2 linked regions of the Danio rerio genome follow. The protein of the gene in region 1 purifies or fractionates together with the protein of each later gene. This does not show direct contact. Links are inferred from orthologs where the notes say so. Each region holds a gene or a part of one and is shown on either strand. Other genes may lie near its edges.

What was found. The genes of interacting proteins can lie anywhere in the genome.
Region 2: the proteins of phgdh (region 1) and epn1a purify together in Homo sapiens (affinity purification with mass spectrometry; 3 studies listed by BioGRID and IntAct, with this or other methods). This does not show direct contact. The link is inferred for Danio rerio from reciprocal best matches to the Homo sapiens genes PHGDH and EPN1.

The regions. Positions count from the first base shown.
Region 1 is NC_133184.1:50,067,817-50,073,375, forward strand, and holds the start of phgdh (D-3-phosphoglycerate dehydrogenase), read right to left. Parts: upstream 3,211-5,559; 5' UTR 3,146-3,210; coding exon 3,008-3,145; intron 1-3,007. UniProt on the Homo sapiens protein: Catalyzes the reversible oxidation of 3-phospho-D-glycerate to 3-phosphonooxypyruvate, the first step of the phosphorylated L-serine biosynthesis pathway.
Region 2 is NC_133191.1:13,118,276-13,122,188, forward strand, and holds the end of epn1a (epsin-1), read left to right. Parts: intron 1-1,195; coding exon 1,196-1,447; intron 1,448-1,522; coding exon 1,523-1,992; 3' UTR 1,993-3,061; downstream 3,062-3,913. UniProt on the Homo sapiens protein: Binds to membranes enriched in phosphatidylinositol 4,5-bisphosphate (PtdIns(4,5)P2). Modifies membrane curvature and facilitates the formation of clathrin-coated invaginations. Regulates receptor-mediated endocytosis.

The DNA of each region.
Region 1 (5,559 bases):
ACATTTTTACAAGAACATTTAAATGGCGTTTTTGTCCCTTTAATGTGTGCCTGACAACAATCTTGTCTTCAATCCCAGTTGTAAGAGCAACAAACAACAGCTTGACATCTAGTTGAACATTTGGAAAAGCTGAAACATCTGCTGAGCTGCATCCCAATCATCACAAATACTGCAGAAGACCTACTGGAATCCGCAGAGACCCAAGATTCTCACAGAAGTCAGTCAAGTTTGGAGAAGGAAAAATCATGGTTTGGGGTTACATTCAGTATGTAGGTGTGCGATGCAAAGTGGATGGCAACATCAATAGCCTGAGGTATCCCTTTCCCATACTTCAGCCTCCACATCAAAGTTCCTGAAAACAAAGGTCAAGGTGCTGCAGGATTGGCCAGCCCAGTCACCAGATACGAACAATATTGAGCATGTCTAGGGTAAGATGGAGGAGGCATTGAAGATAAATCCAAAGAATCTTGATGAACTCTGGGAGTCTTGCAAGAATGCTTTCTTTGCCATTCCAGATGACTTTATTAATAAGTGATTTGAGTCACTGCAGAGATGTATGGATGCAGTCCTCCAAGCTCATGGGAGTCAGACACAATATTCATTCTGTCTCCACTGCATGACTTTATATTCTAGACTGGACATTATTTCTGTTAAGTGAAAAGACTTTTGTCTAAGCAAAGTCAGACCTTACTGTCCTAATTAAATCATTAAAAATCAAGATATGATCATATTTCATTTTGGTAAAATAAGTGTAATCTAGAGGCCTTTGTCTTTCATTTAACCCACTTCTGATACCAAATGATCAACTAGAAGTCAAGTTATTATTTATAAGTTATTATTACTCATTGTTCCTAAAACTTGGATAGGCGACAAGACTTTTGTCAGGTAGTGTATAACATATAAAAGCAGGTATGAATCTTAAAATGACAGTAATATCACTTATTGCAATAATTTCTACAGCATCACGCAACAAATATTACTCATCATGACAGGCCTACTTAGTACTGTCCATGCTTTCGGAACTAAAAATCTAGTGTGTGTATATAAAAACAAATTGCATGCATGCAACATCCCATTCTCGTCTCAAATACACATTTCAAGAGGGACTTTATATACAAAGAAAGCAAATTAAATGCAAGTAAAGTGTCTACTTTATTACATTTATACTGTTTTTAGAAACTATTGTTGACAAACAAGTAAAAATAATAGTTGCTTGAAGTATTGTGGCATTTAAAAATCATAATTAATTAGTATTAAGACGCCAAAATTCAAATAAATGAAATAATTTTTATTAGACATTTAAATGATTGCCTGGGTGACCATTTTCTTAGCTCTAGAATCCAACAGGTTAAAATGGGAGGTTTTATTTCAGATAAAATATGCGCTTCAGCTGGAGCTCCCCAGGGTTGTGTTATTATTTATTGTATATACAAATTCTTGTATGAGTTCACTTAAATCAAAGATACAGTATATTGTAAAGTATGCAGATGACACTGCTTTGGCGAGCCTTTTAAATGAAGAGGCGGATGAACATGGGCCTGTTTTTGACTTCTTTTCAGACTGGTGTGAAAAACCAAATCTTATAAATATTTCTAAAACCAGTAGATGGTTATTGATTTTTGAGAGTGAGCACAAAGCCAAACTCACCTCACATTAATTAATGGGGAGTACATTCAGTTAGTAACATATTATATAAATTTGGGTGTGATGTTGGACAATAAACTTAAATGGGACATATGGACTGACCGTATAGGCTAAAAGCTTCAACAGAGAATATACTTCTATTGTCTTTTAATGTTGACAACACATTGTATAGTGCTTTTATCCAAAGTATTGATAAAACTAAAAGAGTATTGATAGTATATACAAAGAAAGAGTTTTCATACATACATACATACATACATACATACATACATACATACAATTGAAGTCAGAAATATTAGCCCCCCCTGAATTACTAGACCCCGTTTTTTTTTTTGTTTTTTTTCTCCAATTTCTGTTAGGTGAAGAGTAAATGAATAGTATTTGACTATAGATATTCACTTCTACACAGCTTAAAGTGACATTTAAAGGCTTAACTTGGTTAATTAGGTTACCTAGGCAGGATGGGGTAATTAGGCAAGTTATTGTATAACAATGGTTTGTTCTGTAGACTATCAGGAAAAATACATAGCTTAAAGGGGCTAATAATATTGTCCTTAAAATGGTGTTTAAAATTATTAACTGCTTTTATTCCAGCCGAAATAAAACAAATAAGACTTTCTCCAGAGGAAAAAATATTATCAGACATACTGTGAAAATTTCCTTGCTCTGTTAAACATCCTTTGGGAAATATTTTTTGTTATATATTTTTAAATATATATATATATATATATATATATATATATATATATATATATATATATATATATATATATTTTTTTTTTTTTTTTTATATATATTTATATATACAGCGGACATAATTTTTTTTGAAAAACAAAAGTAAAAGTAATTTTTGTTTGTTTTGATGCTTGAAAACCAGTTTTAATGTTTGTTTAATAAGTTTACATCATAATCAGGGGGGGAAGTGTTCTGCCAAGTAAATGATACATGCTAAAAATAAAAAATTAGGGAGTCTATATGCACAAATATAGTGAATATCAGCACAAATAAATATATAAATCTGAAGGTAATGTAATAATTAAACAGCAAATGCAGAAGTGAAAACTAATTCAAACAGTAAAAAACATCGGCAACTGCAAACTGATTGTCTACCTAATATATAATAAAACCATTAGTAGAGAATCGATTGAAATGATTCATATGGTGCAGATAGAGGCTGCTGTTGCATCAGACTCTTGGAGAGGAGGAGGAGGAGGGGTGACAGTCATACAAAAACTTCAGCACATCCAACAAACACACATAATTATATACATCTCATAAAATGCTGATTTTCCTGTTGCAGGACGCCATTCACTGGCAGCGATTCAAACTTGATAATACTTTAGAGGCAATGTGAATCACTTACCCGAATCTCTGCAATCAACTCTTCTTTAGTCATCTGCTGCTTCTCCGTCACCTCAATGCCATTTTCCTGGAGAACACTTTTACAGCAGGGATCGACGCTTTCACTGATTAAAACGCGTTTGACTGATATAGGAGCCATTATTATCGTGGACTTGCGGACTCGACTCTCGCTTCAAATGAATGATCGCGTGCGCGCGCGCCGCTGATTTTCGTAACGCTTTTTTCAATAAAAGAGAAACTCCGCCCAACCGCGCCTCCCAAAAAAAAACTCCCCCCCTGCCTCTGTGAAACAGAAGTAACACTGATGTGCCAGTGTTTTATGGCTCACAAGAAAGGAAAGACAGCTTTTAGCCCCTTCAGACCTGAATTATGATCCAAATTTTAGAGAAGATGTTTGGGGATGGGATGTTAGGAAAGACTTTAGGATGTAAAATGTTTGCTGTGTTTACATGATTGTGTAACTTGTAGTAACATGCAACTTGAAAAACTAAGAAATAAATTGTAAACAACTAAAAAAAAGGAAATGTAAAAGTACATTTACACTGTTTTTAAAGCAGCTGTACTCTAAAAACATTACAAACATGAAATTAACCATACAATAGTTAAGATGGCTGATTACTTGAAGTTTCTTTTGAAGTCTCTTAAATATAAAGAAGTCGCCACAGCGGAATGAACCGCCAATTTATCCAGCAAATGTTTTACGCAGCAGACACCTATTCAGCTGCAATCCATCACTAGGAAACACCCATACACTCCCTTTCACACACATACACTACGGACAATTTAGCTTACCAAATTCACCCATTGTGCATGTCTTTGTACTTGTGGGGGAAACTGGAGCACCTGGAGGAAACCGGGGAGAACATGCAAACTCCAACTGACCCAGCTGAGGCTCAAACCATGCAACCTTCTTGCTGTGAGGCAACTGTGGTACCCACTGCCCACTGTACATTCTAATAGACATTAAAAAAAGTTCACCCAGAACAAAATGATCATTTATTCACCCTTATTGCTTGTTTCCTCACAAAAGAAGACACAGTTGCACTGAAAAGTTTACACACCCTTTGAAGAATTTGTTAAAATGTGAATAATTTGAACAAAATAAGAGAGATCATACAAAATCTTGCTATTTTTTTTATTTACTACTGTCCCAAGTAAGATATTTTACATAAAATATGTTTACATAGAGTACACTACACAAAAATATAGCTGAAATTATTAACATCACCCCCTGCAAAAGTTTGTATTTTCAATACAGCGTGGCTTCCTGATGATCTACCAGTGCTTTGTGATGGTTGTTCATGACTCTCTTGTCTGTTCCGAACAATTAAACTGTCTGCTGCTCTTCCTCAATCTCCTTAATCTCTTGCAGATTCTTCAGCTTCCCAGCATCTTCTGCAGATTTGAACCCTTTTCAGCAGTGGCTGTGTGACTGTGAGATCCATCTTTTCACACTGAGGTTGATTGAGGGACTCAAACACAACTGTTAGAAAAGGTTTAAACCCTAACTGATGCTCCAGAGGGAAACACAAGGCATTAAGATGTGGGGGGGGGGAACTTTTAGAATCTGAAAATCAAGGTAAATCGCACTTAATTTGTGAACCAGGATGAATCCTAATATTTTCTGTCATTTTCAAAGGGCGGTGCTAAATGAAGGAAAACAAGATATTTCAACAAAATTAGAAAAAACTAATATCTTCATCCTGTTTAAAAGTTTTCACCACCCCCCTCAGCTCTTATTCTATCTGCTTGATTCTCATGTCTTTTAAGTATATGCATCACACAATTGCTCATTATTTGAGAATAAATGTGAATATAGGATTAAAAGAAGGTTATAATGGGTCAGCTGGACTAATTCTTTACACAAGCCCCAGCATCTGATCAATTACAGAGCACATGACAGAGCTTATACTATTACCATGTCCATCCCCAAGTATTTTAAAATATTATTTATGTATTGTTTACGGCAACAAGACAGTTAAAAGAAAAGCATAAAAAATTGGATGGCAGAAATTTGTGTGTTACATTTATGAGGCATTTAGAGAAATCCAAAGAAACTTTTCCCTCGGAGTGATTCTTTTCTTTGACTGAAACAGGTTTCTTATATTTTTATAACTAAATTTTAGGTTGTAAATGTATTTGTCTTTAACTAAAAACTTTGGTTCTTTTTTAGCAATCACTTCAAATGACAAGTGGCATTTCATTAAATGAGCAAGGCCTTTAGGTATGACCTTAATCACAGTATGAAATTCTTTGAGAATAACAGGGAAATTATATTTAACCATAAAGTCACCATATGAATAGAAGTTCCCTTGAATCAAGTAAATCACAAAGATAATTAATATCTTTTTCATGCTAATTCTTATAAAAAATCGATTTATTCTTTACTAAGATGCTGTTGTTGTTCCATAGCTTCACTTTGTGCGGGGAGAAATTGTGAACGAAACATAATTTCCATACCAAAATAGCCTGTTCATGAAATTTAGAGAGTGTTACAGGGAGTTTGGATGGAAAAAAAACTACAAGTTAACAAAAATTTGAGACCTCCAATCT
Region 2 (3,913 bases), on another chromosome or scaffold:
TCGCTTCTACAGCAGCTGTTTCCATCCACCTATTTTTATGCACATTTTGGATATGTGCATAAAAATGGTCAATAGAAACAGCAAGATGCACACACATTTTGAAAATGCACTTAAAAACGTATGCGCATAACTGAGTAGAATAAACTTCTTATTCGATTAGAAAAGATGCGCATAAACTGCGATGGAAACACTTTTACCGAGCAAATTCCAGTATCGCATTAAAAAAGGTCATGTGATTTTGTTAAAAGACATCATGTGATAATAAAAATATGTGAACGGACAAACCAGCAGGCTGAGCACAAAAAAATAAAACAAGTAAAAAAACAGCTGAAATGTTTTGGTCGTTCTAAAACGTCTTAACCATTTCAGTATTAGTGTTATTATATTTTTAATTAACTCCGGCCTGCCATTGTTTCTATTTTTAATTGCCTGTAGTGATGAAGGGCGATTTGCGAATGAATCATTTGTTTTAACCAGATCTTCCAAGTGAACTGAATCAGTTCATTAAATTGATCTGAGTTGTCGTGAAACGGTTTGCGTTTTCAGTAAGTACTTAATTACTTACGTTTTAACGCACCAGATACCCTCTCTGACTCAAAATAATCCAATATGCTGAGTAATTCAGTTACTAGAACAGTACTCTGAATCATCTGCTGTGAATAAGAGACCTGGTGATGATGAGTACGAGCAGACAGTCTGTTCCCTCGCAGCTCACTCTCTGATTGAGTGTGATTCAACCTAAGGTAGTTTTTTCTCCGCAGTATAATTCGTAAAAGCCAATTAAGCAAGGTAAAAAGTAACTCGCGTTACATTTTTCTGAAAGTAACTCAAATAATTTGATTACTTAATAATTTGCTTGTTACTTTTAAAAAGTAATATTATTACGCAATATTCGTTACTTATATCGTGTTACCCCAACACTGCCTGTGAGTGGCCTCTGTGCCCACAAGTACAACCTCAAAAGAAAGGCTAAAGTAGCTTAGCACTACTACTAAAGTAGCTCGGAGGCAGAATTTTGATCATATACATAATTATTCAGATCTTATTTCAGTTTTAGGTGCTTTGATACAGTTGAATCTATTGTGGGTAATAATGTAGGGTTTAGCAAAGGATTGTTTGGACTGTAACCCCACCTCAGTTAAACAAATATGCTGTTTGCCTGTAATTGTTTTTTGCCATTTCCCCCCACACACAGCAGATCCAGAGAGAAGAGGTTCCTCAGTGACATGTGATGCAGGAGGAGGTGGCAGCACAGGCTCTCCTGTGCCCTTTGACCTTTCATCGATTGGTAGCTCTTTGCCTGTTCGGAAAACACCAGAGTCATTTTTGGGGCCCAACGCAGCACTGGTGGATTTGGACTCGCTAGTATCATCAAAACCCAAACCAAAACAACCACCCCCACCAAGCATCTCCTCCACATCTAACAACCCCTTCCTCCAGACACAGGGTGTGTTTTTAAAACAATTGAATAGAAATTGTGTTTGTTTGCTTTTCCCTCTAACATCTTTCTTTCCTCCATTAGGGCCTTCCTCAACAGGTATGGGAGTTACCCCAGGAAGTACCATTTCAAGTAGAGGAGTATCTCCGACCCCACCTTCTGCTTCTAATCCTTTTGGCGCGACCCCAATGGCATCAATCTCCCCTCAACCCTCTTCACTTGGTCTGAACCAGCTGCGTACAAGCCCCGTTCCCCCAAATCCCATGCTGGGTCACATGCCTCCGCCAGTAGTAGGAATGGTTCAGCCAGGAATGGGCATGCCAGGAATGGGGGTCCCTATGGCGGCCCCCGGTTTAAGCATGGGAATGGGCATGCCTTACGGTGGAATATCCCCTATGGGTCCAGGAGGAAACCCCTTGCTGATGGGTCCAGGAGGACCTGCGCAGCCTTCACTGATTTTGGGCGGGCCATCAGGAGTGGGCGGAGTAATGGGAACAGGGGGATCCATGGGAGGTGGAACCACAGGCACAAGCACCAATCCTTTCCTTCTTTGAGAGATTTCACCAATCCCACTGGCCCTGTGCACTCAACAACCAATCCGAACCTGCCCTACCAACACAAACAGTTTGTGTTCAACAAAAACAAATGTGTGTTCATCTCTATATTTAATGAAAAGTAAAAACAACAACGTGTTCTTTTCTGTCACAAACAGCATTTCAGTTTTGTTTTGTTCTTTTATTTCCCCCGTTTTATTTGACAGTATTTGAAGTCTATTTATTTCCCTATTGAGTTTTGGTTTCTTTGACAGACATGGATGATTGGTGGGTTCATTCAATGAATGCAGGCTGTTAATATTGTTATATTATTAAGATGATTGTTGTTGCTCAGAATCAGGAATATGAAGAAATGGGAGGAGGAAAACAAGCCACTAATGAACTTAATCACACACCCTGATTTCTCCCCCCCCTCCTTTCATTGATGATGGAAGAGCCGGTGGCCCTCTAAAGAAAGAGCGCATGAAGGATGTCTGACGGACTGGCCCTGAATGGATTCAGAAGGATTCGGCTGTCCGTTTTATTCACAACTCTAGTAAAAATCATTTGATAGATGTATTACTTTTAATTTAATTTAATGTGTAATCTTGTGTAATTTATTTTAATCGTATGTCTCTGACTCCTGGAAACGATTAAACCAAGGAAAATCGCACTGGAAATTGCCATTGAAACAGATGCCTGCTCGGTCTCTGGCCTGCAACATTTCAGTCCATACCGCATGGTTCATACACACATGAGGAGTGAGTGTGTTTATGTGAGAGAGTGTTTGACATGTCCAGTGTTTCACTTGGCCCACTGCTTTGCTTTTGATGGGGTAATCAGCATTGTCTTTATAAGAGTCCTAATTTTCAGCCACTTATTTTTGCAGTCGTGAAAAAAAAGAAAGAAAATCGAAGCATTAATTCAACACCTGTTCACTTGAGAAACAGCGCTTGTCTTTGCATTTCACTTCAGCACCTTTGTCCTTCTACATTCACACAGAAAACAGGAAAGTGTTAACGCTTTTGAAACTGAAAATTGTCTGAATGATTTTGTGAAATCAGATTATAAAAATGGGGACTGAATGATACGATCCATGCTGTTATCCTTTATTTACTTTCAAATTATTTTATATATATAAATATAAATATATATGAACATTTTAGAGATATTTCTCTAATATTGGCTATGGTCAAAAAGTGTGTGGTGTTGACTGTGAACATTCACATAAAAAAAATAAAATGGAGAAAAAAAATCAAAAGGAATTTAAGAAATAAAATAAAAATCCACAAAACAAAATTGTCCAAGCCTATTTTGTTGCATTGATTTGCTTTAAAATCATTAGTATTTCCTTTAATTGTTCTTTTAATTAATTGCTATGTGACAACATGTAATAAGCAATAGAATTCATTATTTCATAATACACAAATATATTGTCATAATACACTCACAGGCTACCTTATTAGGTACACCTGTCCAACTGCTCGTTAATGCAAATTTCAAATCAGCCAATTATATGGCAGCAAGCATTTAGGCATCAAGATGATCTGCTGCAGTTCAAACCGAGCATCAGAATGGAGAAGAAAGATGATTTAAGTGACTGAACGTGGCATGGTTGATTGAGCGCACAACCATCTCTAGGGTTTACAGCAGGGGTGTCAAACTCAATTGCTGGAGGGCCGAAGCCCTGCACAGTTTAGTTCCAACCCTGCTCCAACACACTTACCTGTAGGTTTCAAACAAGCCTGAAGGACTCAATTAGTTTGATCAGGTGTGTTTAATTAGGGTTGGAACTAAACTGTGCAGAACTGCGGCCCTTTCGGAAATGAGTTTGACACCTGTGCTTTACAGAGAATGGTCCAAAAAAAGAGAAAATATCCAGTGAGCGGCAGTTCCTTGTTGATGTCAGAGGAGAATGGCCGGAGTGGTTCAAGATGATAGA